4 linked regions of the Arabidopsis thaliana genome follow. The protein of the gene in region 1 purifies or fractionates together with the protein of each later gene. This does not show direct contact. Each region holds a gene or a part of one and is shown in the gene's direction. Other genes may lie near its edges.

Evidence for each region.
Region 2: the proteins of ACO1 (region 1) and CHL-CPN10 fractionate together in Arabidopsis thaliana (co-fractionation; one large-scale study listed by BioGRID). This does not show direct contact.
Region 3: the proteins of ACO1 (region 1) and ATMS1 fractionate together in Arabidopsis thaliana (co-fractionation; one large-scale study listed by BioGRID). This does not show direct contact.
Region 4: the proteins of ACO1 (region 1) and MS2 fractionate together in Arabidopsis thaliana (co-fractionation; one large-scale study listed by BioGRID). This does not show direct contact.

The regions. Positions count from the first base shown.
Region 1 is NC_003075.7:16,971,694-16,980,782, reverse strand, and holds ACO1 (aconitase 1), read left to right. Parts: upstream 1-2,621; 5' UTR 2,622-2,833; coding exon 2,834-2,837; exon of another isoform or gene 2,838-2,989; coding exon 2,990-3,094; intron 3,095-3,200; coding exon 3,201-3,361; intron 3,362-3,465; coding exon 3,466-3,558; intron 3,559-3,649; coding exon 3,650-3,835; intron 3,836-3,919; coding exon 3,920-4,081; intron 4,082-4,203; coding exon 4,204-4,348; intron 4,349-4,462; coding exon 4,463-4,605; intron 4,606-4,702; coding exon 4,703-4,759; intron 4,760-4,859; coding exon 4,860-4,939; intron 4,940-5,019; coding exon 5,020-5,095; intron 5,096-5,336; coding exon 5,337-5,522; intron 5,523-5,605; coding exon 5,606-5,673; intron 5,674-5,757; coding exon 5,758-5,876; intron 5,877-5,962; coding exon 5,963-6,084; intron 6,085-6,175; coding exon 6,176-6,274; intron 6,275-6,363; coding exon 6,364-6,843; intron 6,844-7,184; coding exon 7,185-7,283; intron 7,284-7,357; coding exon 7,358-7,600; intron 7,601-7,707; and 3 more. Other genes in the region: AT4G35820 (2-oxoglutarate (2OG) and Fe(II)-dependent oxygenase superfamily protein), read right to left, coding at 8,354-8,540, 8,642-8,741, 8,845-8,942, 9,031-9,089. UniProt on the Arabidopsis thaliana protein: Catalyzes the isomerization of citrate to isocitrate via cis-aconitate. Contributes to oxidative stress tolerance. May have a role in respiration.
Region 2 is NC_003071.7:18,418,386-18,423,663, reverse strand, and holds CHL-CPN10 (chloroplast chaperonin 10), read left to right. Parts: upstream 1-2,832; 5' UTR 2,833-3,153; coding exon 3,154-3,247; intron 3,248-3,339; coding exon 3,340-3,398; intron 3,399-3,481; coding exon 3,482-3,532; intron 3,533-3,656; coding exon 3,657-3,722; intron 3,723-3,799; coding exon 3,800-3,850; intron 3,851-3,944; coding exon 3,945-3,974; intron 3,975-4,074; coding exon 4,075-4,143; 3' UTR 4,144-4,294; downstream 4,295-5,278. Other genes in the region: AT2G44660 (ALG6, ALG8 glycosyltransferase family), read left to right, coding at 837-1,562, 1,876-2,082, 2,163-2,400, 2,483-2,832; AT2G44640 (TRIGALACTOSYLDIACYLGLYCEROL-like protein), read right to left, coding at 4,601-4,780, 4,865-5,133, 5,234-5,278. UniProt on the Arabidopsis thaliana protein: Functions as a co-chaperone for protein folding in chloroplasts.
Region 3 is NC_003076.8:5,932,714-5,940,740, forward strand, and holds ATMS1 (Cobalamin-independent synthase family protein), read left to right. Parts: upstream 1-2,324; 5' UTR 2,325-2,490; exon of another isoform or gene 2,491-2,655; intron 2,656-3,042; 5' UTR 3,043-3,057; coding exon 3,058-3,407; intron 3,408-3,496; coding exon 3,497-3,584; intron 3,585-3,852; coding exon 3,853-3,980; intron 3,981-4,086; coding exon 4,087-4,478; intron 4,479-4,579; coding exon 4,580-4,743; intron 4,744-4,841; coding exon 4,842-4,922; intron 4,923-5,019; coding exon 5,020-5,186; intron 5,187-5,280; coding exon 5,281-5,386; intron 5,387-5,478; coding exon 5,479-5,729; intron 5,730-5,813; coding exon 5,814-6,015; intron 6,016-6,113; coding exon 6,114-6,482; 3' UTR 6,483-7,152; downstream 7,153-8,027. Other genes in the region: AT5G17930 (MIF4G domain-containing protein / MA3 domain-containing protein), read right to left, coding at 7,418-7,801, 7,891-8,027.
Region 4 is NC_003074.8:954,454-962,084, forward strand, and holds MS2 (methionine synthase 2), read left to right. Parts: upstream 1-2,408; 5' UTR 2,409-2,682; exon of another isoform or gene 2,683-2,836; intron 2,837-3,124; 5' UTR 3,125-3,148; coding exon 3,149-3,498; intron 3,499-3,598; coding exon 3,599-3,686; intron 3,687-3,783; coding exon 3,784-3,911; intron 3,912-4,006; coding exon 4,007-4,398; intron 4,399-4,503; coding exon 4,504-4,667; intron 4,668-4,753; coding exon 4,754-4,834; intron 4,835-4,941; coding exon 4,942-5,108; intron 5,109-5,201; coding exon 5,202-5,307; intron 5,308-5,389; coding exon 5,390-5,842; intron 5,843-5,918; coding exon 5,919-6,287; 3' UTR 6,288-6,579; downstream 6,580-7,631. Other genes in the region: AT3G03776 (hydroxyproline-rich glycoprotein family protein), read right to left, coding at 1-172, 580-655, 747-770. UniProt on the Arabidopsis thaliana protein: Catalyzes the transfer of a methyl group from 5-methyltetrahydrofolate to homocysteine resulting in methionine formation.

The DNA.
Region 1 (9,089 bases):
GCAGAGAGTTATAAAGAAAAGGTTATTTATAGTTTAATAAAATAACTTCTTCGTTTTTTACATAAATTTTTAAAATGTGTTAGATTTTAATTATAAGAAAACTACGGGAGATATTTAGATTGTCTGAATAATACCAAAATATGGTAGGGTCGATCATTTTCGAATCATACAAGCAATCAGAAGAAACAATTAGATACGAAACAGAAATAATTTCTATACATGTTAACTATTTGAGGAAATCTCAAAATCTTATTTTGATTCTTCCTTTCCTTTTATAGTAAGAACCTTAATATGAGCAATACTTTATTGTTATACCAAACTAAAATGGGTACGGTGAGACTTTGTTATTGTGCTATTACGTGCGAGAAGCTGAATGATTACCCTTACCGTTTCTGTATAATTGTATTCCAAGACTCTGTGTTTTTCGATCTCTACAGTGGTAAGCCGATTAATTAATCATTTCAAGAGATAATTAGTTGCAGCGTATGTCTCATCTAATGAGTATTTGCATGATCGGATCATTTATATAACTTTGAAATTTTCATATTTCTTTATTTAGTCAAAATAATAATAATAATATTGTTGATATGTAAAATTTCAAAAGATGGACAGAAATAATGACATATAGTATTTATGTTTACTGAATATATTTGACAAGGCTCTATGACGATTTTTTTTAACATACTGTATTTCTTAAAAATATCTATCTACCTTAGATAGTTGACATGATAAAAAAAAAATATATATCTACCCCAATATATTTCACCTGTATTTTAATTTATAGACATTATGGGGCAATTAATGGTCCAGAAGCTGGTCCCATGAGTGATTAAATTGAAATCTAAGCATTTGCATGATATATAGTTACGTGTCACTTACATACATGTCTTGTATTGTTTAGTTTCACTGCTGAGAGTGAGTTTCTCTATGTACTGTAATGAACTTGGCCGATCGTGTTTTACTAGTTTTTCTCTTGAAAGAAAAATTCGTATTACTGGTACTTGGACTAAAATTTGGTCTCCACACCACTCTCCTCTAATCATTTTACAAACAATTCTATATTTGAGAGAGGATATTATTGAACATGATACAAATTAAATAATATTTTATGAGTACGTATTTGCATCTTGTGAGAAAGAATTAAGTGTTTTCTAAGGGAAATATTAACAATGGGTAAGTGAAAGTAACAGAATGTTTTACCTATAAGGATGTATAATAATATAAAGAGAGAGGAAAAGAAAAAGCCAAATAGACAAAGAAGATATAATTATGATTGGTAGGTTATCTACATGCTGACCAAAGTCACATTTTTACCGGTGGTGCGTCTTTGTGTTGGCGTGATTGATAATTTAACCCGGCCACCACTTGCATCTGCTCCTTAATTTATTTGTAATTGTATGGAAGCATCATCAAATCAACTCCATAAATATAAGATACTTTATAAGCTTTCGTCCATATTAAAATAAACAATTTTTTTTTTTTATAACTTCTTTCTTATTGATATTAGCTTAAAAGATCGTATAAACAAACTTATATACGATCAAACAAACTAAAAAAGAGAGTTCTTTATCAAAAACAAACAAACTAAAAAGAGACGATAAATGAAAGAGATAACAATAGTATGTAATTGTCCTTACATAAAAAAAAAATATGAGCCACGCCAAATCTAAAACGATTTCGTTAAACATATATAGTTCTCGATATTTATCAACAAAGACGATGTAATTCGTAATCTATATACGTACATCTTCTTAACTTTTTTAAAAATATAAAAAGGTGCTTCAGATTCAAGGGACTGAAACTAGTGAGGTTTCTTAAAAGCAGATATATACACTGACCACGTTCAGGTTAATAGTTAGTAGATTTTTAGGTGGATAGTAATATATTGATGGACAATATTTAAATACAGACTATAAAATTTAAGAGACTTGAAGTGTTCCTAAGAGTAAATTTAATTATACATTTTAATCATGGCCTGAAAAACTAAACAAGGAGGGGTAGAATAATTAATCATCTCAGCAGCTTTCCATCTGGACACACCATTCAGCTAAACGACATTGTTTAATCTCTAACCAAACTGGGCTAGACCGAACTGGGTACAAAGATGGGTTAAACTGGGCTAGGCCCAAATTAATCAGAACATAAATTTCGAACGGAGCGACCCATTTCCAAAATAAAAAAATGTTTTTTATATATATATATATATATATATATTTTTTTTTTTTTTAAATCGTTGCATGCAGGTTGGTGGCGATATTTTTTGGTTTTGTCACCAGGTGGTGGTGAAATAAACGACGATCATTGAATATTTTTGGTGTCTTGTATATGTTTGTGTCATTGTGTGTATTTTTTTTTGGTGTGTTGTAACGACGATCATTGATTGTATATGTTTGTCAGAAATTAAGGTTTTTTTAATCAATCAATGCCATGTGAAATTGAGAAACCTTGAAGAAAATTGGATTACATAAAACTAGATACTATAGAGAAGAGGCACATATCAGATTGGTGGATTATAAGTTTGTGAAAATAAAATCATGATTGAACAGATATAATTCACTTGATACAAAAAAAAGCAAAGAATGGATATTCACAAAAAAAAAAAGTTGGATAATTAAGAAAATAGAATATAAAATAAAAATAAAAATCAAACAGCCATCAGTTCTGACGAAAAGAGCCCACCACGGATCTGTCAGATTTATTTCCTTCTTACATATAAAAAAAATCTGAATCGGCTCAGGCTCGTGTAGCCTCACCAACTCCGCTTATAAACTTTCTCTCTTCTGAAAACAGATCTCTCTACTTTGCTTCTTCACTCGACTTGTATCTATCATCCATGGGTATCGATTTATCTGTTTACGATCCAAAATGATTCATGTTTCTTATTTCTTCTTCTCGCCGATGCTGATTTTCCAGCTATTTTTCGTTTTTTTGAAATCTGGTTCTGTATTTTGATTTGCTGTGTGGATCTCTGTTTCTGATGTGTTTTCAGCTTCCGAGAATCCTTTCCGAAGCATATTGAAGGCGTTAGAGAAGCCTGATGGTGGTGAATTCGGTAACTACTACAGCTTACCTGCTTTGAACGATCCCAGGATCGGTGAGTTTCCTTTTATCTCTGATAGATATTATAATATTTTGTTAGAAGACGTTGTTATGATCTCGTTGGTGAGAGTTTTATGAGAGAAATGTTGTGGTGGATGCAGATAAACTACCTTATTCCATTAGGATACTTCTTGAATCGGCCATACGTAACTGTGATGAGTTCCAAGTTAAGAGCAAAGATGTTGAGAAGATTCTTGATTGGGAGAATACTTCTCCCAAGCAGGTTGAGATTCCGTTCAAGCCTGCTCGGGTTCTTCTTCAGGTAGACAATGATTGGTTGCTATACACATTCTTGATGACATAATGATGTTTCTGATTTCCTGAAAATGCTAGAATGTGATATCATTTTTTCTATTTGTTTTTCAGGACTTTACTGGTGTTCCTGCTGTTGTTGATCTTGCTTGCATGAGAGATGCCATGAATAATCTCGGTGGTGATTCTAATAAAATTAATCCGCTGGTTAGTTTCCTCGCTTTTTACTGAGATTGGTTAATGATTTGTGTTCTTTTGGTATGCTATAAGGTTTGATACAAGGCCTTGATAATTGCAGGTCCCTGTAGATCTTGTCATTGATCACTCCGTTCAGGTGGATGTGGCGAGATCAGAGAACGCAGTGCAGGCAAACATGGAGCTTGAGTTCCAGCGTAACAAGGAAAGATTTGCTTTTCTTAAGTGGGGATCCAACGCCTTTCACAACATGCTTGTCGTACCTCCTGGATCTGGAATAGTTCATCAAGTAAGTAGAGGATTCAGGGACAACGGTATTGCTTGGAAACTTAAAGTATTTTTATGCTAAATTCTATAATTTTGCAATTGACAGGTCAACCTAGAATACCTTGCCAGAGTTGTTTTCAACACAAATGGACTTCTTTACCCAGACAGTGTTGTTGGCACAGACTCTCACACCACTATGATTGATGGACTGGGTGTTGCTGGATGGGGAGTTGGCGGTATAGAAGCGGAAGCTACCATGCTTGGTCAGGTAAATCAGATGCTCTTTCGGTCGAGAACTCATAGCTAACTGTCTAACCTCTTTCTGAAACTTTGGTTCTAAACTACATCCTTTCAATAATTCTAATAGACTTTCCATCTCTTTATATGCAGCCAATGAGCATGGTCCTACCCGGTGTTGTGGGTTTCAAGCTAACGGGAAAGTTAAGAGATGGAATGACAGCTACTGATTTGGTCTTAACAGTGACTCAGATGTTGAGGAAACATGGAGTAGTTGGAAAGTTTGTTGAATTCCACGGTACGTTGATAAAAGATTTGATATCATATTTCATATATGTCTCTTATTTACTTACATAGTACCTTACCGAGTTAGGCTAGCTCACATATGCATCGACTGCTTTTTCATACACAGGGGAAGGGATGAGAGAATTGTCTTTAGCTGACCGTGCTACAATTGCCAATATGTCTCCTGAGTACGGTGCGACCATGGGATTCTTCCCAGTCGATCATGTCACTTTGCAGTATCTAAGGTTGACAGGCAGGAGCGATGACACTGTAAGAAAATGCACAAAATGTCACATTTGGGAAAATCTTCATTATTTAGTGTGTTAAAGACTTTCATAATGGTATTGATTTGTGAATTGGATTGCAGGTCTCCATGATAGAGGCGTATTTACGAGCAAACAAGATGTTTGTGGATTACAGTGAGGTAAACCTTGGGCATCCTTAATACTTCATTTCTTATGCCTATTGTCATATATCATATTTGCATAACATATGCTTCACTTGGAACTTGTTGCACATCTCAGCCGGAGAGTAAGACAGTTTATTCCTCATGTCTGGAATTGAATCTCGAGGATGTGGAACCTTGTGTTTCTGGTCCCAAGAGGTACTATTAGTGAATGATTCGACAGAAAATTATCTAGGATCCATTCTACTTACAATGTCTATTCTCTGTGCACAATACAGGCCTCATGATCGTGTTCCTTTGAAGGAAATGAAAGCGGACTGGCATTCTTGCTTGGACAATAGAGTAGGATTCAAGGTTAGTACTCTCCTTTCTGTTGAGAAGATGTGAATGCTTGCAGTCCCGAGAGCTTAATTTGTAGGAAATTATGACACCTCTAGCTATTGTTACTGTAATTTTGAAAGAATGGTACGTATTCGAGTCTTTAAGCGGGTCCAATAAACTAACTTGTACGTTCTGCAACACTTCTGAATTTATAACCTACTTCCATTTTTTCAAAAATAGTGGTTAGTGATACTACTTATCCATGATTTTCCAGGGTTTCGCTGTACCTAAAGAAGCACAGAGTAAGGCTGTAGAGTTCAATTTTAACGGGACCACAGCACAGCTTAGACATGGAGATGTTGTTATAGCAGCAATCACCAGTTGCACAAATACTTCAAACCCTAGTGTAATGCTTGGCGCTGCCTTAGTTGCAAAAAAGGCCTGCGACCTAGGACTGGAGGTTTGACTACTTGTGTGATAGTGATTTAATATCTTTATGTGCAATGGAAATAATAGAAGTGTTTGAAATTTCTCAATTATTAGGTTAAGCCATGGATCAAAACTAGTCTTGCTCCAGGCTCTGGAGTTGTAACAAAGTACTTGGCAAAGAGGTGCTGCAGATACACCGTTGAATGTTTTGTTATTTATTTCCTTATCCTTTGTATTGTGTGGTCCTGAGTTTTCAAGTCTTGCAGTGGCTTGCAGAAGTACTTGAATCAGCTCGGCTTCAGTATCGTTGGTTATGGGTGCACCACATGCATTGGAAACTCGGGGGATATCCATGAAGCTGTGGCTTCAGCAATAGTTGATAATGGTAATTCCTTAAGTAGTTAATGAAGTAATGCTTCTTCACTTGAATTTTCGAAGGTCAAACTAAAAGATTTCTCATATATGTACAAGACTTGGTGGCATCCGCTGTGTTGTCTGGGAACAGAAATTTTGAGGGACGTGTTCACCCGTTAACAAGAGCTAACTATCTAGCTTCCCCACCGCTTGTTGTAGCCTATGCTCTGGCTGGAACTGTATGTTAATGCTAACTCTAAAGCCATTTCACAACATTCAAGCATTCTTGTTATATGAAGCACAGAATCATTCACATGAATATTCTTGTAGGTTGACATTGATTTTGAGACACAGCCCATTGGAACTGGGAAAGATGGAAAACAGATATTTTTCAGGGACATTTGGCCCTCTAACAAAGAAGTTGCTGAGGTAAATATATATGGGCTACTTGTGTAATACGTAAACAATGAGATATTATAAGTGGAGGGGATGCCAAATTCTCTGTTTCGATTTTTCAGGTTGTTCAATCTAGTGTCCTTCCTGATATGTTCAAAGCTACATATGAAGCAATCACCAAAGGAAATTCCATGTGGAATCAGTTATCTGTGGCGTCAGGTACTCTCTATGAGTGGGACCCGAAATCAACTTACATTCACGAGCCGCCTTATTTCAAGGGCATGACCATGTCTCCACCCGGTCCACATGGTGTGAAAGACGCATACTGTTTACTCAATTTTGGAGACAGTATTACCACTGATCACATCTCACCAGCTGGTAGCATCCACAAGGACAGTCCTGCGGCTAAGTACTTGATGGAACGAGGTGTGGATAGAAGAGACTTCAACTCATACGGGAGTCGCCGTGGTAATGATGAGATTATGGCGAGAGGCACTTTTGCAAATATCCGTATTGTCAACAAACACTTGAAAGGAGAAGTTGGTCCCAAAACAGTTCACATTCCCACTGGAGAGAAGCTTTCTGTTTTCGATGCTGCCATGGTATAATCTCACTTTTTTTTTTATCCTTTTGAAAACATCAAATTCAAGCTCTTTGGTCATGAGGTTGGGGTAGGATTACGATAAGCTTTGAATAAGCACTACAGCTCTACTCTTAGCTATAGGTCTACTGTATCTAGCCTAGGACTGAATGTAGTAGATTAGAGCTGTTGTGAGTTGGTTTATAGAACAGTTAGTGAAGGCTGAGGTAATAATAATGTCTCAGCAGATTGTCTTGGGGGTGGAAATTTTGTTGTTTGATTCTCTGATTTGGTCAGTTGGAATTAGAATAGCAGTTCATAGCTTTGTTTTAATCAGATTATTCTCTCCTCGTGCTGTACCAGAAATATAGGAACGAGGGACGCGACACAATCATTTTGGCTGGTGCTGAATACGGTAGTGGAAGTTCTCGTGATTGGGCTGCCAAGGGTCCAATGCTTCTGGTACATTTTCTGTATTTAACAAACACGTTCTTACACTTATTTTATGCGGTTTCTTTAAAAAATTGTGACAACAGGGTGTGAAAGCTGTGATTTCAAAGAGCTTCGAGCGAATTCACCGAAGCAATTTGGTGGGAATGGGAATCATACCTTTGTGCTTCAAGGCGGGAGAAGATGCTGAGACCCTTGGCCTAACGGGTCAGGAGCTTTACACCATTGAGCTCCCAAACAATGTTAGTGAGATCAAACCAGGACAAGATGTAACAGTCGTCACAAACAATGGCAAATCTTTCACATGTACACTCCGATTTGACACAGAGGTAAGTTATCTCTAGATGATATATTTTCGTCTTTTCGTCTTTGAGTTTTTTTTTTAGCTCTAAAACAAAATGAGATGAGATAAGTAAGAGGAATTTGGAATCGACAGGTGGAGTTGGCTTATTTCGATCACGGAGGGATTTTGCAATACGTTATCAGGAACTTGATCAAACAATAAATCTGGTAACACCAGAGACTTGAGTTATATATCCCAAGGTTTGTTGCAATAAAAATGTTTGCAGGGAGGAGGACGAGAATGACTTTAATTTAAACTTTTGCTTTTGTTCTTCTTCGTCTCTTGCTTCGTGCTAGTCAATTGGAAACATTATCACTGTCGAGTCATTTTTTTTCTTTCAAATAAACATGCGAGCTCTTTTTTTGTTGTTGTTGTTCATAAGCATTGTCAATGCTGCATTGATAGAAGTATACTCTACCATTAGAAAATAAACACAAATACACAAAGTAATCTAAAGAGCTAGAGGATGAAAATTATCTTGTGAAGGTTGTACAAAAACATTAAAAAAAATCTGAGATGATCCAAAGGATTGATTATCACATTCGAAGTGATGGTCAGAGATTACCTCTTGGAATGTTGTGTAGAGTTGATGAACTTATGAGAGCGGAACCATTTGGTTGATGCCCACTTGGTTCCTTTGATTACTGGACTCCCACCTAAATCAAACAGACAAATTTTTGAGAAATTTGTTTTACATCTCATGATCTCAAACAAGTTATAATTAAGGGTTTATTACGATTTAAAACAAGTTTAGAGAAAGGCAATGCCTCTTACCATGCTTACTCGAAGGGTCTCGAGACCCGTCGGGTCTCATGCTCCAAAAGAGTAAAGCGTCTCCCTTCTTCGGTCTAACAGAGACTCCTTTTTTACTTTTAATTCCTTTGGCTTCAGGGAAAACTGTTTCGCCGCCTTTATCAACATCCGAGCTAATTAGTCATACGATGAGAAAAGAAAACAAGATTAACTTATGCAAATATTGTAAAATTTTTACATGGCTGATGAGAAAGATTATAAAGGGTTTACATACAGATACATAAGAACCGTAGCAATTCTTTGAAATCCGTCAAAGTGAGGCTCAAATTTCTGCCCAACTTCATAATTGATAACTTGAAGCGTTTCTCCGTTTTCTGCACATAAATTACATAAAACTTCACAATAATGTAATGATCTTAGACCTTGTTTGGTAAGAAAATCCAAACTATGGCCAGTTTAAAAACAGAAGCCACATACCTTGAGGAATGAAGGTGAATTCTGAAATCCTTTTCTCAATCTCTTTGACGATTTTGTCATGTCCACTTCTAATAAAAGTTCCTGAACTCGTCCGTGAGCTGCACATTAACATATTTCCAAATCTCAAATCTTTCCAAACTAAACTTAATTAAAGAGGGAAAATCAAATGAAAATAGAGTACATAACCTGCTTTCTTCACCAAGTCCAGTTAACGCATTGCGCACCTTGGACCTCGCCATACTAGG
Region 2 (5,278 bases), on another chromosome or scaffold:
ACGGCAAACCAATAATAAAACATTAAAAATGTATATATTTAAAGTGTATTAATACATACAAAAATAAAAGGTGTTTTCGTGATCAATTATAATAAAGTTCCAAAAAAAGAAAGGAGGTTTTACATAATTGGTTAGGACCACACAACTTGTCATCTGTCGATACAACAAGGCGTCGAGCTGACTCAGATTAATGAGTTAATGGGACCCACAATCACCTCTCTTTTGAAAGGCCCAATTATCAACGTCCTTGTCTCCCGGGCCCACGACAGCTGCCCTTGTACCCCGTTTGCCCTACTTTTTTCTTTTTTTTTTAAACTCACCTGCAGTTGACACGTGCGGTGATCCTCGCTCGTGCGCCAGCTAAGATCCGAGTTCGTGCTACGTGGCTGTTAGGTAAAGGTCTTAAGGTTTGCATGGGAATTAAAATCTGTTGTTTTGAGTCTACGGTTACTATTTGATCTTTTAGGGTCGTCGTGTATGACACGTGGCCTTAGTTACTGAAGAATGATCTCAACCGCTGATTAATTCGAATGGTCTAGCTCTACGCTATAGCCAATAGCTACTTTCCTTTTGGGCGGTTGTAATAGGTAGGTACGACTTATACACACAACGAAATATTCATAGCTAAACCGGTTTAATCCGATATAAAAACCAATTTGAACAGTTCCACGTAATGCCATGTCATATATTTTTAACCAATTATGTACTGCCATATCTACAACTCCACGTAAACTTCTGTAGTTACTAAGTGGGCCGGTTCGTGTCCCAAATTAGGCCCATATCAATGGGTTTTGTAAATCAACGGTCGCTAATGTTCCCAGTCTATCGGTGCCGAGATGGATCACCGGGAAAAGAGTGACCGGCGACTACTGCTATGGTTCTTCGCCGTAGCCACCGCCGTAAAACTCCTTCTCATTCCGTCGTCCAGAAGCACCGATTTCGAGGTCCACCGTAACTGGCTCGCTATCACAAACTCTCTTCCTCTTACCAAATGGTACTTCGACGAGACTAGCCAATGGACACTCGACTATCCTCCTTTCTTCGCCTACTTCGAACGCTTCCTCTCAATTTTCGCGCGTCTCGTCGATCCCAGGATCGTAGATCTTCAATCAGGACTCGATTACAATGCCGAATCTGTAATTTACTTCCAACGAATCAGCGTAATCGTCTCAGATCTATGTCTTCTCTACGGTGTTTATCGATTGACTCGAAAATTAGAACCGTTGAAACGAAATCTGATCTGCGCATTGGTGATTTGGTCTCCGGGGCTATTGATCGTAGATCACATTCATTTTCAGTATAATGGATTTCTACTGGGTTGGTTATTGCTTTCGATTTCGTTTCTTCAAGAAGGGAGAGATCTTTTGGGTGGGTTTTTATTCGCAGTTCTTCTATGCTTTAAGCATTTGTTCGCCGTCACTGCTCCGGTTTACTTTGTTTATCTACTTAGGCATTATTGCTGGTCTGGTTTAGTTACTGGTTTCCGACGGCTTGTAACTATTGGTGCGGTGGTTGTGGCGGTTTTTGCTGCTGCCTATGGACCTTTTATCTATCATGGACAGGTTAGTGTAGTTCTTTCCTATTCAATGTTGAAGAATATAGCCAAATTCTTTTGAGTTCAAGTTGAAGATTCTAATGTTGTTGATGTGTTTAGGAGATTGTGAATCATTTTTGTTGTTGTTTGATTTGGCAAAGAGTTAGAATTTGTTAGAAATTTTGGTGCTAGAGAGCTATTTCACTACTTTTATCAATGGAAATTATCCTAGACGAATCAGTGAATCTCTATACATCAATCAAGTCAAACCTTGTCCTAAATAGATTTATTGAGAAAACATCTTATGGTGGTAGTTTTCGTGTTCTCTCGTTGTGTTGCAGATACAGCAAGTCATCAGTAGAATGTTTCCTTTCGGGAGAGGATTGTGTCATGCATACTGGGCACCTAATTTTTGGGTTTTCTACATAATACTCGACAAAGGGCTTGCGGTTTTGCTGCGGAAGCTAGGATATGAAATTCAAATTCCTTCCGCATCTTTCACTGGAGGATTAGTTGGAGATTCTTCGCCTTTTGCAGTTCTTCCTCAGGTACTACTCTTCATGAGTATCTGTCATATCTCATGAATTGTTTCACTCAATCTTATTCTGTTGGACTGGTGCAATGACAGATCACGCCATTGACAACATTTGCAATGGTATTACTAGCTATATCTCCATGTCTCATCAAAGCCTGGAAAAAACCACACTCGGGGCTCGTTGCTAGATGGGTAGCTTATGCATATACATGCGGTTTTCTGTTTGGATGGCACGTCCATGAGAAAGCATCGCTTCACTTTACCATCCCACTTGCAATCGTTGCAGTTCAGAGTCTAGAAGATGCTAAACATTACTTTCTGGTTTCCATAGGTATATACTATTCTCTAACCAGAATCAACTTTTACGCATAATCATTCATTCCTTGTACTTAATCTCTGTATTTTTCCTGCAGTCTCTTGCTATTCGCTCTATCCACTCTTATATGAACCGCAGGAGTACCCGATCAAGGTTCTGTTGCTGTTATTGCATTCCGTGGTAATGTGGCTCGGCTTTGCAGCTCAATACACAGATTATAAGGCGCAGAAGAAGGAGACTAGTGAAATCAAGAGCAAGTTTAGGATTGGATGTTTTGAGAAGAGCTATCTAATGGGTTTGATTATAGTAGAGATAGTGTCTCAATTCTTGCATCCGTATTTTCTAGGTGATAAGTTGCCATTTTTGCCTTTAATGTTGATCTCAACATATTGTACCGTTGGTATTATGTACTCTTGGATTTGGCAGCTCCGGAAGATCCTGACATGACATATAGATAGATTCATGTAATAGTTAACTTGATTTTAGTACTACGTGAGTTTTTCCCTCCGTAGTATATGACTTTTCAGTATACCCCACGATACTGCATTACTGCTTCGGTGACTCTCAATAAAGTGCAATTGAGATTTCTCGGTTCAATAAAACATACATCGGTTAGGCTTAATAGAATAAAGATATTGGGTCTTAATAGTTAAATGGGCTGTAATATTGGCCCAATGTAAAACATAAGAAGCACTGACGAGAAAGCTGGAGCCAAAGTCGTAACGGAGGAAGAAGAAGATCTGCTTCTGCAAAAAACCTTATCCTGCTATGGCTTCCACTTTCGTCTGCTCTCTACCAAATCCTTTCTTTGCTTTTCCGGTCAAAGCAACTACTCCTTCGACGGCTAACCATACGCTTCTCGGTACTTAACTATCTGAAAGTTATTTTGATGTTTCTTCCTTTTCGGATATAAAGTTTGTCTTTTTGATAATTTGTTTCCTCGTGTTTATGCAGGAAGTCGAAGAGGTTGTCTTAGAATCAAAGCGATTTCCACTAAATGGGAACCGACAAAGGTACTGTCTTTTCCGAAAAATGTATTGGTTTCTCTGTTTTTAAAAACTGGTGATTAATCTTAGTGTTGAGGTGATAATTGCAGGTTGTTCCTCAGGCAGACAGAGTTCTTGTTCGTCTTGAAGATCTTCCTATTGTCAGTTTAGCTCCTTTATTGTCTGAAATGTCATGATTATTATCAATAAGCTATTAATTTGATGAATCACTAAATTGAATTCCATTGCCAAAAACTTATGGGCTCTTAAATTGTTATTCTGAAGAAATCCTCAGGTGGAGTATTGTTGCCTAAAGCAGCTGTGAAGTTTGAGAGATACCTAACAGGAGAGGTAAGTCATTTGCTCCTTATATGTTTTATATAACTTGTGTTAGAGCATCTTTAATTAAGAATAGAGAATCATTTCAGATTATATCTGTTGGTTCTGAGGTTGGACAACAAGTTGGACCTGGAAAGAGGGTAAATGTTTCTTCTTAAGTCAAAGACATAGTTATTTATCCATTGTAACTACCGTGAATCTTGTCTTTATCTCTTTCTCCTTTGCCTTTCACAGGTTTTGTTCTCTGATGTGAGCGCTTATGAGGTGAATTCCGCTTCTCTGCAGTGTATTTGATTAGTTGTTGTCCTGTCCTTGTGTGGTTTTAAGGAATATAGAATCGAACATCTCTGAATTTGTTTCTCAGGTCGATTTGGGAACCGATGCTAGGCATTGCTTCTGTAAAGAGAGTGACTTGTTGGCCCTCGTTGAGTGAAGTCTTGTCCAAGAGGGAGAGATTTGAAGATTTTACAAGTTTTCTGTAATTTTCAGACAGCAATTGTTGTTTCTAGTTAATCCTTCAATTTAATATCAATTGAGATCACTTTCAGAGATAGTCATATTCAAAAAAAAAAACAAGTTTTCTCTTTCTCCTTCTTCCGGTCCAACATAGCCTCCATGTTAGCAGCCTCGACTAACTGACAAAGCTCGATCATTTTATTGACTCTGTAGCGTAGAGAAATCGGACGGTCAACAATGAGAAAGTTTGGATTTTTAGGAAGTTTCCGTGTGAGAGCCGATGGAAGTGAGGATAGATCTTTCCCAAGTGGATTTCTAGGGATCGACCGCCACAAGCAATGAAGATGAACTAGGTTTTACGAAACATAAGAGTTTTTTATAGTCATGTCAAAAAAAAAAAGTTGCGATTTTTAAAACATAAACGGAGACTAAAATCAAAACTCAAAAACTCGGAGCTCGATCATGCCTTCTTTTCTCTTTGGAGAATACCAAGCCACGATTTTGCCAGACTCAAGAAGCCTCAACGAGTAATTCAGACTGTATATCACATCTTCCATGCGTGCAGCTCCTACCTGAAACTGCGAGTCTACTTTGAAAACAATCGGACCCGCAACCTGCATAACAGTGTGATTAGTGGGAATTGCTTAAACATCATAGACTCTTTTACATCTTTTGATCTTTGGACAAAAGCTTAATACCTGTTGCTGGAATATCAGGTTGAGTCTGGGAGACCACAATGTGTCGTCTGAGTTGTTACTACTTGCATGGAAGAGTTTTTTAGCAAGGGCAAAAGCTGAGGGTAGGTCCACGCGAGCATCTACTCGGGTAAGATCGCCATACAACTTACTAAACCGTCCTTTTTGGAACGTATAACAAGCAGAACCAAATACATCTGCGCTTATCGGACTCCGCTTCTTGCCATTAACCAACATGCCTCGGCCTGTGATCCAAGCTGCCAAGCTGCTTCCTAGAGAGTGAAACATTGAGAGAACTCAGCATTCAATTCAAGGTCAAGAAAAGAAAAGGAACGAGACTTCTTTAGGGGATTGGTTTTTTAAAGAGAGTACCTACTATTCCTGAAATTGCTGCATGAGGCTCCTTGAGACGTAAAT
Region 3 (8,027 bases), on another chromosome or scaffold:
ATGGGAAAGGTACTGCCGTTTGGATTTTTCTATGAACATTGTAATATAATGGACTCGATCGAAGATGGTAACACCGTTCAGATTACAAATAGTTTTTGGTGGTTCATATTTAGTTGTAAATCTCTTATTAACATGAAGCATTGCCTCTCTTTTTTTTTTTGGTAAAAGATGAACTTGTGTTTGAGATTTTATGTAAATAAAGTATCCAAGTATATTCATATAAATCACCAACTTTTGATTCAAAGCATAATGTGTGTGTATACAGTTTTTATTGTTTCACATGTCTAAAAGCATGCCTTTCCATAGTTTAATCATAAAGTTTTATAAGCCAGCAATAAGAATACTTTTGGATCTTGTGATTCGTGTATCATATGATTACCAAACTCAAGATGCCAAAAAAGGTTGGTAAACAAGTATTTTATTGATCCAATAATTTGTTATACTAATACACATACGATTTAGTTCAATAATTCCTAAAGAAAAGTTTTTTTGTTTGTTTTTCATTTGGATTGTTAAAGTATTCAATTCTTTATGTCGTACAACAAGTAAATAGAAAGAAAAAAATAGAGTGCGAGTTTCACTTTCAATAAATGCTTGTGTGATTATCTTTATTTGTGTACATACTAGATCTACATCCACCGACAAACCAGTGTCGAGGAAGCATATGCAACTGTCCTGCAGATTTAAAGTCTCATGTAATTAAATGTTGTTCAATTTGTTTGTTGTGTGATTACCAGTTTGATGTATAGTTAAAGTTACCAAGTAATAAAATCATCAAACATACATATAGTACTAATTTTTTGTTTATCACATAAACATTTTGTTGACTTTTTGGTGTTGTTTGCAATAGCATCTTCTTGATAAATTCCTAGTGAACTCAAAATTGACCTACACCAGTTCCATACAAATAGAAAGATACTCCAAAACTAGTTGTGGAAGTGGTTGAATATAATTTTATATTCCAAACTTAGAAAATTCATGTTAAATTCCGCAAAAGAGCTTATAACGTAGTTTATGCACGATATGGTTAAACTTCCTCAGTTGCTATAGAGTTAAAAAAAAACAAATATTTTGAAATTGGTAACTAGTACGTGAAATTTTTTAATGCAGACTGAAAGAACAAAATAAAACTTAAAATATGTTTACAAAAAAATATTCTTTCATGATTTACGCAAACCAAAAGTTACATTTAAGGTTAGGAAAGAAAAAATGACCTAGGAAATTAAAACAATGAGGTTCGTTGATAAAGGTCAAGAATCAAAGTTTGGTAGCCAAATTACCAGCAAACAAAAAAAGATTAAGACCATTAATCCATCGCGTATACTCATTGTCTTATGAATCTTAAACAATAATATTATATTATATACAGTAGGTCCATAATTTATGTTTCTTTACCTACTCTATTTACCAAAAACATACATAGTTTTTATCTGACTTACACAAGTGTACTAATGGCCAGACAAGATTGTTACTTGTTCAAGTAAAATTGTGTTACCAGATATTCAACTTTCTATATATACATATAGATTTGACAACTATTCGACTTTCTATATTTAACTGAAAGAGTTGTATCACTGAAATTTGGAGTATTGTTCCCTGTAAATAATTCGATTTGTTTCCAAAACGCTATGGAACAGGCCTTGATTTTGATACTCTTTCGTGCTGACACTTGAAACGGCGTCGTATCAATAATAGAAGAAAACCTTACTGTGGAAATAATCAAATTGTGAATCTCCACCAACCTCAATGGGTCCCATTGCCACCCACTAATCTCCCCACGTACACCAACTCCCCTTCACGTTTTAATCTCTTAATATACTTTTATTATAAGTTAATTAAATGATTTCAACCTTAGTAATACTAACCATTAATTATTCATTTCTAATCTCCAATATTTTTTTTGAAAAACCTTTCTGTTCAGATATTTTCGTCAATTAATCAAGATCTCATTCATAAATTAAAAAAAAAAACAAAATTCAAGCTAAAAATACATACCCAACAAAAATTCCTTAAAAAAATTACTTATGGGGCATCTGGTAATTTAATTTTCCTATAAAAGATGGCAATATTAATTCAGTTTTTTTTTTTAATTTACCAATATGATACTTTAATTATATTTCTTACTTGTTAGCTCTACTAATGCACACATACTTATTTCTACGAATATAAGAAAAAAATACTGAACTCAAACAATAGACAAAAAAGAAATAATCCTACACTCAAGTGTGTTGAAAAATAACATCAAATTCAGAGAAAATGCACATACACCAATAATATAAATAAATAGGGATATTTAAAATAATAAATAAAATTGCGAAAATATCGAGCACCACCAGATCTACAGAAATGACACAGAGCCCAACGATGATGTATCTCGTTTATTTTCGCTATAAATAAACTCACACAGCCCACTCTTCTTCCTCGCTCTCTCTTTCGCCTTCTCTTAGCCTACCCTTTTTCCTTCCTCCTCTCCGATTCTTCCTCCGTCAGGTTCGTCTCCGACTTTCTATGTCTTCCTTACGTCTCTCTTATTTAGCTCCCTTTCCTTCCTTCTCCACGTTATTATTACTACTTCGCTTTTAGTGTGATTCGTTTCATTCTCGTTTTTTTATATTCCTCGATCTGTTTGCTCATTTGTTGAGATCTATTCGCTATGTGAGTTCATTTGACTCAGATCTGGATATTTCGTGTTGTTCGATTTATAGATCTGGTTTCTGGATCTGTTTACGATCTATCGTCATCTTTCCTTTGAAAATGATTGGTGTTTCTGTGTTCGTATTCGTTTAGATCTAAAGTTTTTGATCGATGAATGTCGCATGTGTTTTTATCTGAAAGTTTTCGATTACAGTATCAAGTGGTGGTAGTAGTAGTAGTAGACTCAAAAAGCTGCACAAACTTTTTATACACGTGAATTGTGATTGCTTTACGGTTTTCTTGGAGTTTGTTAATTAAATCATTTAATATTAAGAAGTTTATGAATTAAGAGAACGTTATTTTATACTATGATTTTGATTTTGATTTGGTTTGTGTGTTTTAATGCAGTAAAAGAAAATCAAAATGGCTTCACACATTGTTGGATACCCACGTATGGGCCCTAAGAGAGAGCTCAAGTTTGCATTGGAATCTTTCTGGGATGGTAAGAGCACTGCTGAGGATCTTCAGAAGGTGTCTGCTGATCTCAGGTCATCCATCTGGAAACAGATGTCTGCCGCTGGGACTAAGTTCATCCCTAGCAACACCTTTGCTCACTACGACCAGGTTCTTGACACCACCGCCATGCTCGGTGCTGTTCCACCTAGGTATGGATACACTGGTGGTGAGATCGGCCTTGATGTTTACTTCTCCATGGCTAGAGGAAATGCCTCTGTGCCTGCCATGGAAATGACCAAGTGGTTCGACACCAACTAGTGAGTCTTCATTGATCTCTTGTGTTCTTTTTGTTGACATTGGTCTTTTTGAGTTGTGGACTAATTTGATTATGCTTTTGTTGATGCAGCCATTACATCGTCCCTGAGTTGGGCCCTGAGGTTAACTTCTCTTACGCATCCCACAAGGCGGTGAATGAGTACAAGGAGGCCAAGGCTGTACGTATCATTCTTTACTAATATCCGTTTCTTAGGAAATTACTGTTTGCTCGTCTAATTAACTATTAGAGATCATAGGCTTTAGTTTGAGGATATAGTGTTTAAGCTTAGATTCATTGAGTGGTGTTTCACTGAGGATGCTAATATGCTAGGAAGGTCTCGGATGCATTGAATATAAAAACCGTTAGAAAAGTCATCTGGCACTGGTTGTCTAAAGTAGTTTTTTTTTCTACGAAGTTCTGATCTGGTTTACTTGATGTTTATGCAGCTTGGTGTTGACACCGTCCCTGTACTTGTTGGCCCAGTCTCTTACTTGCTGCTTTCCAAGGCTGCCAAGGGTGTTGACAAGTCATTCGAACTTCTTTCTCTTCTCCCTAAGATTCTCCCGATCTACAAGTAAGAAATCACTTTATTGTTTTTCTTTATTATGCCATCCGTATCCTTGATGTTATCAATGATCCTCTGACATACCACTGATATAATGACTTTGATTTGTGTACAGGGAAGTGATTACCGAGCTTAAGGCTGCTGGTGCCACCTGGATTCAGCTTGACGAGCCTGTCCTTGTTATGGATCTTGAGGGTCAGAAACTCCAGGCCTTTACTGGTGCCTATGCTGAACTTGAATCAACTCTTTCTGGTTTGAATGTTCTTGTCGAGACCTACTTCGCTGATATCCCTGCTGAGGCATACAAGACCCTAACCTCATTGAAGGGTGTGACTGCCTTTGGATTTGATTTGGTTCGTGGCACCAAGACCCTTGATTTGGTCAAGGCAGGTTTCCCTGAGGGAAAGTACCTCTTTGCTGGTGTTGTTGATGGAAGGAACATCTGGGCCAACGACTTTGCTGCGTCCCTAAGCACCTTGCAGGCACTTGAAGGCATTGTTGGTAAAGGTAATTGTTCTTCCAAAATCATCTGCCTTTTACCTGACATTACTAGGGAATTATTGAAAAACAACTGTATGAAATGTTGATCTGTTGTCTTTTTGATGCAGACAAGCTTGTGGTCTCAACCTCCTGCTCTCTTCTCCACACCGCTGTTGATCTTATCAATGAGACTAAGCTTGATGATGAAATCAAGTCATGGTTGGCGTTTGCTGCCCAGAAGGTCGTTGAAGTGAACGCTTTGGCCAAGGCTTTGGCTGGTCAGAAGGACGAGGTATTTTACCCACATGCTCCCCTAGTAGTGGACCCTTGAATTATCTGTAGTGTAATTGATCCAGAAAAATCTAGAACTCAATATTTTTTTTCTTTCAGGCTCTTTTCTCTGCCAATGCTGCGGCTTTGGCTTCAAGGAGATCTTCCCCAAGAGTCACCAACGAGGGTGTCCAGAAGGCTGTAAGTTTGATTTCAAACTGATGCACTGTGCTCACCCAATGGTTTATTTTCCTAATCTTGTATTGATTGAGATAGTTTCTCATTCTTGTTATCTCAGGCTGCTGCTTTGAAGGGATCTGACCACCGTCGTGCAACCAATGTTAGTGCTAGGCTAGATGCTCAGCAGAAGAAGCTCAATCTCCCAATCCTACCAACCACAACCATTGGATCCTTCCCACAGACTGTAGAGCTCAGGAGAGTTCGTCGTGAGTACAAGGCCAAAAAGTTAGTCTCCTAAATTTAATCCTTGGGCTTATGCGTCACACATTTTCTTAAATTGTTGTGATGCTAATGGTTTCTTTAATCTCTCTTTTACTAGGGTCTCAGAGGAGGACTACGTTAAAGCCATCAAGGAAGAGATCAAGAAAGTTGTTGACCTCCAAGAGGAACTTGACATCGATGTTCTTGTCCACGGAGAGCCAGAGGTGAATTTTTTTTATTATTCTATGTTTTTGCCTGATATTTCTAGTAATCCTTGGTACTGTTTCTGATGAGACATGTTTTCACAATTTTGTAGAGAAACGACATGGTTGAGTACTTTGGTGAGCAGTTGTCTGGTTTTGCCTTCACTGCAAACGGATGGGTCCAATCTTATGGATCTCGCTGTGTGAAGCCACCAGTTATCTATGGTGATGTGAGCCGTCCCAAGGCAATGACCGTCTTCTGGTCCGCAATGGCTCAGAGCATGACCTCTCGCCCAATGAAGGGTATGCTTACTGGTCCCGTCACCATTCTCAACTGGTCCTTTGTCAGGAACGACCAGCCCAGGTACATAATGTTACTATAATCTAAAAACAAACATAAACACCAAATAAAGAACAAAACACTAAGACAATCTTGGAATCATTGTAGGCACGAAACCTGTTACCAGATCGCTTTGGCCATCAAGGACGAAGTCGAGGATCTTGAGAAAGGTGGAATCGGTGTCATTCAGATTGATGAGGCTGCACTTAGAGAAGGACTACCACTCAGGAAATCCGAGCATGCTTTCTACTTGGACTGGGCCGTCCACTCCTTCAGAATCACCAACTGTGGAGTCCAAGACAGCACCCAGGTTTGCTTAAATAAAAACTACACATAACGAGTCTCATGTAGTGTAATGCTTTCTCAGTTGCTCATAACTTATGTGTTTCTGGTGTTTTTTTTTTGCAGATCCACACTCACATGTGCTACTCCCACTTCAATGACATCATACACTCCATCATCGACATGGATGCTGATGTCATCACCATTGAGAACTCCAGGTCTGATGAGAAGCTTCTTTCCGTGTTCCGTGAAGGAGTGAAGTACGGTGCTGGAATCGGTCCAGGAGTCTACGACATCCACTCTCCAAGAATACCATCTTCTGAGGAAATCGCAGACAGGGTCAACAAGATGCTTGCTGTCCTAGAGCAGAACATCCTTTGGGTTAACCCTGACTGTGGTCTCAAGACCCGTAAGTACACCGAGGTCAAGCCTGCACTCAAGAACATGGTTGATGCGGCTAAGCTCATCCGCTCCCAGCTCGCCAGTGCCAAGTGAAGAAAAGCTTGATTTGAACAAGGAAACGTTTTTTTTTCTCTAAAATGGTTGTGTTTTATTTGGTTTAATAACTTTCTTAAAAATATTTTTAGTCGAAGGTAGATTTGATGCATATGGTTTCTTTCTTGTTGAGAGAGAGAAAGGCTATAGCATCCTTTGGATTTGATGCAATGTTTGTGATTTTCTTTTTGTCTCCAATATATTTCTCTGATGGAATGTCTTTTTTCTAAAGTATCTTGAAAAGGAATAAGAGGATTGATTCTTATACAAATACTTTTGTTTGCGTTGTCCTAAACTCACTACTTTTTTTTATCCGACGCAATCAGTGCTTTGTAGCCTGTTCTTGAAGTAGGCCCCTTTGTATGTCTCTATCTGGCTCCTGTATCAGATTGTTGTTTCCCTTAGATTTCTTTATTTCGTTGGCAAAAAGAAAATCTGAATTGCCCCACAAAGAGCGTGGTGGCTGATGTTAGGTTGCAGTCTCATGGTCCACCACTTTAGACTCGAAGATTTATTTCGCTTGGAGAACATCTTCGTTGATGTTTATGTATCATTTGAACTGTAGACTGTAGCCAAGTAGAAGGTTTTAACTCTGTAAAATCTGAGATGTTGTATGTTCTCAAGTTTTATCTCAGTAATTCAAGTCTCTTTGAGTTCAAATAAGAAAAAGATTGTAGCTCGGTCTCGAAGAAAAGTTCTTGCTCATTTGCAGTTTTTAATATTATTTTTCTCTCTAAGATTGTGTGAAAATAACCTAGTTAGTAAACCAAATTCAATTAGTGTAAAAGAACCTCAACCTTTTAAGATCGTTTTCAGTAAATTTTTATTGAAGATGGTGAATGATAAAAATCTTACAAAGTAGAAACTTTAATTAAATTAGAAGATAGTGTGTACAACAAAAAGAGACTTCAAAATTGTTGGTGGCAACAACAGGATCACATGAGTAATCCTTCTGCATTGTTAAGTGCTTCTTTAGCTTTCCTGAATTTCCCATAGATTGCCTTGTTATTTTTCACAACATATTCCTTCACAAAGAACTTGATGCCATCTCGTAGAGCTTCATATTCCGGATTCAAGGCTATGCGTGTGAACAAGTTCCACACAAGATTCTCAGGGTGCTCAAAGATGGCCTCGAACAGCATTCGAAAGTGCATGATTCGTTTTGGAGTTAACTCCACTGGATTTGCTAAGTCAACGGATTTGAGAACAGCAAGAGAAAGATTGAAGGTTACAATAATCTCTGCCACGAATTTCGCCAGATGCATCGATCTCTGAAGTGACATCGACTCTAGTTCTTTAAAATGGTCCCAAATGCAATACTGCAGGAAAAAAAACACAAGAGATGATAAGAGAAAAAAGAATGGTTACATAACCATGGCTTCGGTTCTATTAGATAGTAAAAACGTACCTGCAGTGTAAACTTATGATTTTTGTCGTGCTCGCACAACTTTGAAGCAAGGACTGTGTAGAACTTGTTGAATGCTTTCTCCTGTAAACAGCATTCAACTAGAACCCTCATGATCTCTCTGTCCTGTTTTCCTGGCA
Region 4 (7,631 bases), on another chromosome or scaffold:
TGTTCCATCAAATGGTCTTTCCGATTTTCCGGCTGCTTACTCTGTCCGTTATTGCTCCATAATATAACCGCTTTTTTGCCTGCTTTTGTAATCTTTTCAAGTATTATTTGTGGGTCGACTTTTCCCGATAGATATACTGTTTTGCTTTGCTTGTCGATCATGAAACTCACATCTGTAAACAAACAAAAGAGAAGGGAAGAATTATGAAAATATATTCTTGCATTTCATATTAAAAAGAGTCCAATATTAACAAACTGGCTACAATAACGATTTGTTCGATAAAGCGAAGAGATTGAAACGGAAACATGTTTATAGTACTATCATCTCTAGACTACACAAAACTATCCGAAAGATTAATTCGATGGTCATGGTTATATTCCGGAGATGATACACAACAATTGTTTTAAATAATTGGGTTTTGTAAGTGCAAACGATACACATAAGTTAAATCTTGAAAATTATGTATGTATAAATACAAAAGAAAAACATTATGCATTCAGAAAAAGAAGTGAAGACAAAGTAAGAAATGAAATGATAAAATTAAGATAATTAAACGAGAAAAGTGATAGATTAAGAAACCATTAATTGTCTTGAGTAATTTTTCCAAGGATTTCTTCCATCCCGGCGTAGGAGATTCTATCTTCAAAAGACATATCTGCGCTTAAAAACATAAGATTTATACACACTTTCAAATAAACATAAAATATATACACAAATCTTACAATCTATTATGCGTTTACGCATACCATGTGATTGGAAGATGATTCCATCGATCTAGATTAGATATGTTTTGTTATTTGTTCCTGCTCTTGAGAAACCTTAGGAAAACAAAAAATTTGGGAGGTTTTGGGTGGTGAAGAAAAGTTTCTTCTTTTATTATATTTTGGAAATATGGATATATGATGATAAGAGATATCAATCTATGAATTTTTTATTTTCCTTAATTAGTAAAAAATTTCGATCTATGGATATCAGTATATCGTCTATGAATTTTTTATTTTCCTTATGATAAGAGATATCAATCTATGGATATATGAATTCTTTTAGTTTCCTTATATATTGAATATCATATTCTCTTTTCAAAGTATGGAAACTTTATCGTCTCTTGCATGTGATCTCGCCGTTAAAACTTATAGTATATTCTGTAGGATTGATGATATGTAAACGTGTTTATTCATTTAACTTTCTTACAAAAAAAATTGAAAGTAAATTAGGTATGTAATGTGTAATGCGATATTTCAAGACGCACAAGTATATATTAGTCGGAACATTTTGTCAAATTCTTTTACTTTGGGAATACCGAATACGCATGATACATTAGGCATTAGCGAGAAATAAGAAAAAAAAAATGTCTCATTAAATGGTCGTGCGTTTTTATATCTATATCCCACCGACAGCCGACAAAACCATAGCAAGGCATCTACTGATCTACTAATGCTTCGGAATAGACCGATGTTGGATATTGTGAGGAAATATAAAATTTACCGGATACAAATATTTCTGTGTTTTGTTTTGAAATTTGAAGTTACTTGTTAAGCGTCTTGATGGATTAAAGTTTTTTGAGTCGAAAAACAAAAGAACGGACTTTCTCATGTGAAAGCATTAAAAAAAAGAGTTCTTGCTACAAAACAAGTTACAAGAGATGGTAGAAATACACTTCTTTATTCGAAACATAGAATTTTCGTATTAGTCGTCCAAACAGAGCATTGAATATTCTTTACTGAACTAGTTTACCATTTCATACTAGACTTCTTTACATACATTATAGACGTATATTCCTCATTAAGGTGAATATTATGACAACTTATGGTTAATAGGTTTCAAACGTCATTGTTGAATAAAAAAAATTATGTGAAGATCAAACCATAAGAGGGACGTGGAGGATCTCATAATCATTCACCAACTTTGTTTACCAAACAAATCTCCAAATTTGTGTGGCAAGAATTGTTGGTACTGACTCCCAAAAATGAAATTAAAAGTGAATATCTCACCAACTCCCTAATGGGCTCCACCCACCAATCCCGCTACCTCCTTCTCCTCATGTATACTCTTCACAAACAACACACACCAACTCTCCTCCCCACCTTCACATTTTCAATTCCATAATTAATCCCCTCTTAAGCTCTTATATCTTAATTAATACTACGCTTTACAATACAACATACACTAACCCCTTAATTAACCCTTAAACAATTGTTTTAAGCTTTAACTAGCCAGTGAGGACTTGACAAAAGTCAACTAAAATTACCAGTAAACTAGTACTAATTCAACGGAATTAAGTTCTACCAGCTTATATAATTGTAATGTCATGCCATGATCAAATACATTTTTTTATTATGTAAACCGTCGTTATACGTATAATTCTCGAAAGTTGTATATAATTGACCGTGCCCTTAAATTTGAAAGATAAAAATTAGTATCATTCTGGATACATGGATTACACGTATTTTTATTTATCATATAGTATAATGTTGTAGAGAGGGTAAAAACCTAAATATACGTATTTTGATGTACATGTACGTATTATTAATTTAAATAGAAAAATAATCAGCCACCACGAGTGAGTGAGAGAAACCAAGGAACGATGTGTAATTGATTTGCTATAAATAAGCTTAACACAGAACACTCTCCATCGTCGCTCTCTTTGCCCATCTCTCATCTCCACTCTTCTCATTCCGTAAGGTACGCTTCCGAGTTTCCATGGCTTCCGCATGACTATTCTTGCTCTCTCCCTTCCCACTCTCTTATTTACCTTCCGTCTCTTCGTTTTCTTCTCAATTCAATTTTCGTTTGATTCCGTTTCTTCTTCGTTCGTTAATACTTAGATCTTAATCCGGTGAGTGAAATTCTATGAAACACAGATCTGGATTTTTTATACGATCAGATTCGTAAAATCTCTGTTTTGCGATCTTTCTCTGCGTTAGATCTCTGTTTTCCCTAGTTGTGATTCGTTTTGATCTTTAAACTCTCTCATACTCTGTTTTCAATAAATACGACAAAAAAAACTGCAAAAGTTTTTTACTTTTTTAACGATTGGTGGCTTTTACCATATGACAAGAAGTACATTTTAGGATTGTGTTTGGTTTACTGACTGATTTTGGTTTTGTTTGTGGTTCAAATGTAGTAAAAAAACAAAAAACAAACAAAAATGGCTTCCCACATTGTTGGATATCCACGTATGGGACCTAAGAGAGAGCTCAAGTTTGCATTGGAGTCTTTCTGGGATGGCAAGAGCAGTGCCGATGATTTGCAGAAGGTGTCTGCTGATCTCAGGTCTGATATCTGGAAACAGATGTCTGCTGCTGGGATTAAGTATATCCCAAGCAACACCTTTTCTCATTATGACCAGGTGCTTGACACCACCGCCATGCTTGGTGCTGTTCCATCTAGATATGGATTTACCAGTGGTGAGATCGGTCTCGATGTTTACTTCTCCATGGCTAGAGGAAATGCCTCTGTTCCAGCTATGGAGATGACCAAGTGGTTTGACACCAACTAGTGAGTTTCTTCTCTACTCTTTAACTTGTGTGTTGACATTGTTATTGGATTTGTGAGTTGTGTTATTAACGTATTTTTTTAATGTTTCTGTTTGATGCAGCCATTACATCGTCCCAGAGTTGGGCCCTGAAGTGAAATTTTCTTACGCATCTCACAAGGCTGTCAATGAGTACAAGGAGGCCAAGGCTGTACGTACTCAACTAATTTTCCTATTTGAACATATATAGGCTTCTTTTGGTCTGGTATTGAATGTTCTAATATAGTAATGTGGTGTTGTTAATGCAGCTTGGTGTTGAGACCGTCCCTGTACTTGTTGGCCCTGTCTCTTACTTGCTTCTTTCCAAGCTTGCTAAGGGTGTTGACAAGTCATTTGATCTTCTCTCCCTTCTCCCCAAAATCCTCCCAGTTTACAAGTAAGAGATTACTTTTGCTCTAGTACTCAATTATTCTCTTTGACGCTAGGAAATTTGTTTCTGACATACTATTGGAATGGTGAATCTTTTCTCAGGGAAGTCATTGCAGAGCTTAAGGCAGCTGGTGCCTCCTGGATTCAGCTTGATGAGCCTCTCTTTGTCATGGATCTCGAGGGTCACAAACTCCAGGCTTTTAGCGGTGCCTATGCTGAGCTTGAATCAACTCTCTCTGGTCTGAATGTTCTTGTGGAGACCTACTTCGCTGATATCCCTGCTGAAGCATACAAGACCCTTACTTCCTTGAAGGGTGTGACTGCCTTCGGATTTGATTTGGTTCGTGGCACCAAGACCATTGACTTGATCAAGTCAGGTTTCCCACAGGGCAAGTACCTCTTTGCTGGTGTTGTTGACGGAAGGAACATCTGGGCCAATGACCTCGCTGCCTCTCTCATCACCTTGCAGTCACTTGAGGGTGTTGTTGGTAAAGGTATTATATTCTTCCAGAATCTCTTATGTGGATTACTCAATTAGAAGTGTTTAATTTGTTATCTTTCTCTAACTCGTTGGTTTTGTTATTTGTGAATTGGTGCAGACAAGCTTGTGGTCTCAACCTCTTGCTCTCTTCTCCACACTGCCGTTGACCTTATTAACGAGACTAAGCTTGATGCTGAAATCAAGTCGTGGCTAGCTTTTGCTGCCCAGAAGGTTGTTGAAGTTGACGCATTGGCCAAGGCTTTGGCCGGTCAGACAAATGAGGTATTGTAAAAATCCTACAAACATGTTTCCCAAGTGAACCCTTTGTTTGAAAAAGACTTCAAGTCTCTAATATTTCTCTCTTTCAGAGTTTCTTCACTGCCAACGCTGACGCATTGTCTTCGAGGAGGTCTTCCCCAAGAGTCACCAATGAGTCTGTCCAGAAGGCTGTAAGTTCTTGCTTTCATACTCAAGCTTTCTTTACTATTATGATGGTTTTCTCTGTATGATATATGTTTCTATTGATCCTAATGATTTGTAATTCCTGCAATCTCAGGCTGCTGCTTTGAAGGGATCTGACCACCGCCGTACAACTGAAGTTAGCGCAAGGCTAGATGCTCAGCAGAAGAAGCTTAACCTTCCAATCCTCCCAACCACAACCATTGGATCCTTCCCACAGACCGTGGAACTCAGGAGAGTTCGCCGTGAATACAAGGCCAAGAAGTTAGTCTCTTAATCATAATTTTTTTGCATTGATCATTTAAGCATGTTTAGTAAGTTGATTGTGATGCTAACTGGAACTCTTTCTTCTACTAGAATCTCTGAAGAGGATTACGTCAAGGCCATCAAGGAAGAGATCAAGAAAGTTGTTGACATCCAAGAGGACCTTGACATTGATGTTCTTGTTCACGGAGAGCCTGAGGTCAGTCTTTGTCTCTTACTAGACCCTAAAACTAATTACAACGTCCTGTTTCTGACTCAGCCATGCTTTGACAATATTATAGAGAAACGACATGGTTGAGTACTTTGGAGAGCAATTGTCAGGTTTCGCATTCACAGCAAACGGATGGGTGCAATCCTATGGATCTCGCTGTGTGAAGCCACCAGTTATCTATGGTGACGTGAGCCGCCCCAAGCCAATGACAGTCTTCTGGTCCTCAACAGCTCAGAGCATGACCAAACGTCCAATGAAGGGTATGCTTACAGGTCCAGTCACAATTCTCAACTGGTCTTTTGTCAGAAACGACCAGCCCAGGCACGAAACCTGTTACCAGATCGCTTTGGCCATCAAAGATGAAGTGGAAGACCTCGAGAAAGGCGGTATTGGAGTCATTCAGATCGATGAAGCCGCACTTAGAGAAGGATTGCCTCTTAGGAAAGCCGAACACTCTTTCTACTTGGACTGGGCTGTTCACTCTTTCAGAATCACCAACTGTGGCGTCCAAGACAGCACTCAGGTAACAACACTGTACACTTAAAATCTCAAATAGTGATGAATGTTTCTGCAACTAACTTCTTTATTTTATCTTCTAGATTCACACTCACATGTGTTACTCAAACTTCAACGACATCATCCACTCAATCATTGACATGGACGCTGATGTCATCACCATTGAGAACTCTCGTTCAGACGAGAAGCTTCTCTCAGTGTTCCGTGAAGGAGTGAAGTACGGTGCAGGAATCGGTCCTGGTGTTTACGACATTCACTCTCCGAGAATACCATCCACAGATGAAATTGCAGACAGGATCAACAAGATGCTTGCGGTTCTTGAGCAGAACATCTTGTGGGTTAACCCTGACTGTGGTCTGAAGACAAGGAAGTACACTGAGGTTAAACCAGCACTTAAAGCCATGGTTGACGCGGCTAAGCTTATCCGCTCCCAGCTCGGTAGTGCCAAGTGAAGAGCTTGAAGATATTATTTCTATATTCCGGGATTTTTCTACGTGGTTTGTGTTTGTTCAGTTTCAATAACTTTTCTTCCAAGAAAAATATTTTAGCCAAAGTTAGGTTTTGAGGGAATGGAGTCACACTCTCTCGCTTTCGTTGAAGAGAGTTTACGGCTTTATACTATATGTTTCTCTTGTTGCAATGTTATATGTATCTTTGTTTTCTCTAATGAAATATATGCTTCTTTGATCTCTTGAAAGTGTGGATACGAATTAATTTGTTATACAAGCCCCCAAAATGTGAAATCTTAAAATCACTACTAGTGTTGTAGAACTAAAGAATTTGCTGAAAATAATCCATTATTGTTATAAGATCATCCACCATACTACAAAAAGATTTGATTTGATACCATGAAAAAGGACACAGTTTCGAACCTTTGGAATGCTCGATTCGTGCATGTAAAGATCACTTGACGTGGTATACCAGAGAACCAAAAGTAGTACTATATTTTCATGTCTTGTTAACCATTTCTTTTGCATGGTGTAAGCATTTCTTTTCAAAGTACCAAAAGTGCGGTATTTCATTTTATGTGGAATTTCTTTTCCAGAAATTTATAAACTTTATCACCGAACGCAAGTTACACAATAACACTGCAAAAGTGAACCCAAAAAAAAAAACCCTGTAAAAGTAAAAATTTGCTTAAACTTAACATTCTTTCACCGCTCCGTGACGTGGACATTTGGCTGGCAAAGAAAAGGCATAACATCCAATCAAAGATATCCACGTAGTCCGATTTATGTCACGAGAGCTGACGCGTCACATTATGCATTTTTTTTTTTTTTTTACACATTATGCATTTGATTAAGCATCTGTTTAACTTCTTTTACCATTTTGTCCCTCAAATTTTCATTCCCTCTAATTAAAAAAAATAGAATTAATCCACAATAAATTCTTGAAAAACTGATGATGCCACAGAAATTCACAAAATTATTGAAAGGCTACAAAAAAAAAACAGAGAAGTTTCAGACATATGATGACTGTGTATGACCTTGTCAACGTCTGACGTGTCGCACATGTCACCACGTGTCATAACGATGTAAAGCAAACCAGTTAGGTGTCTGGAGAGAGAGATATGGACTTCATCTCTTCTCCGAGTCTTTAGCACGTCACAACTTCAAAGGACTCTATCGTCATTCGCCGTAATTTCTATCTTAATTACTGTATTACCCTTAGGCTCGGAGATCTCTCTTCTCCCCGTTTCTCTCTCTCTGTCTGGCTCATTCAGAAACTTTTTTATACGCCTCTGTTTCTTATGGGGAAGAGGGTATATTCTCTGTTTTGATTCGCTTCTGTCTTAA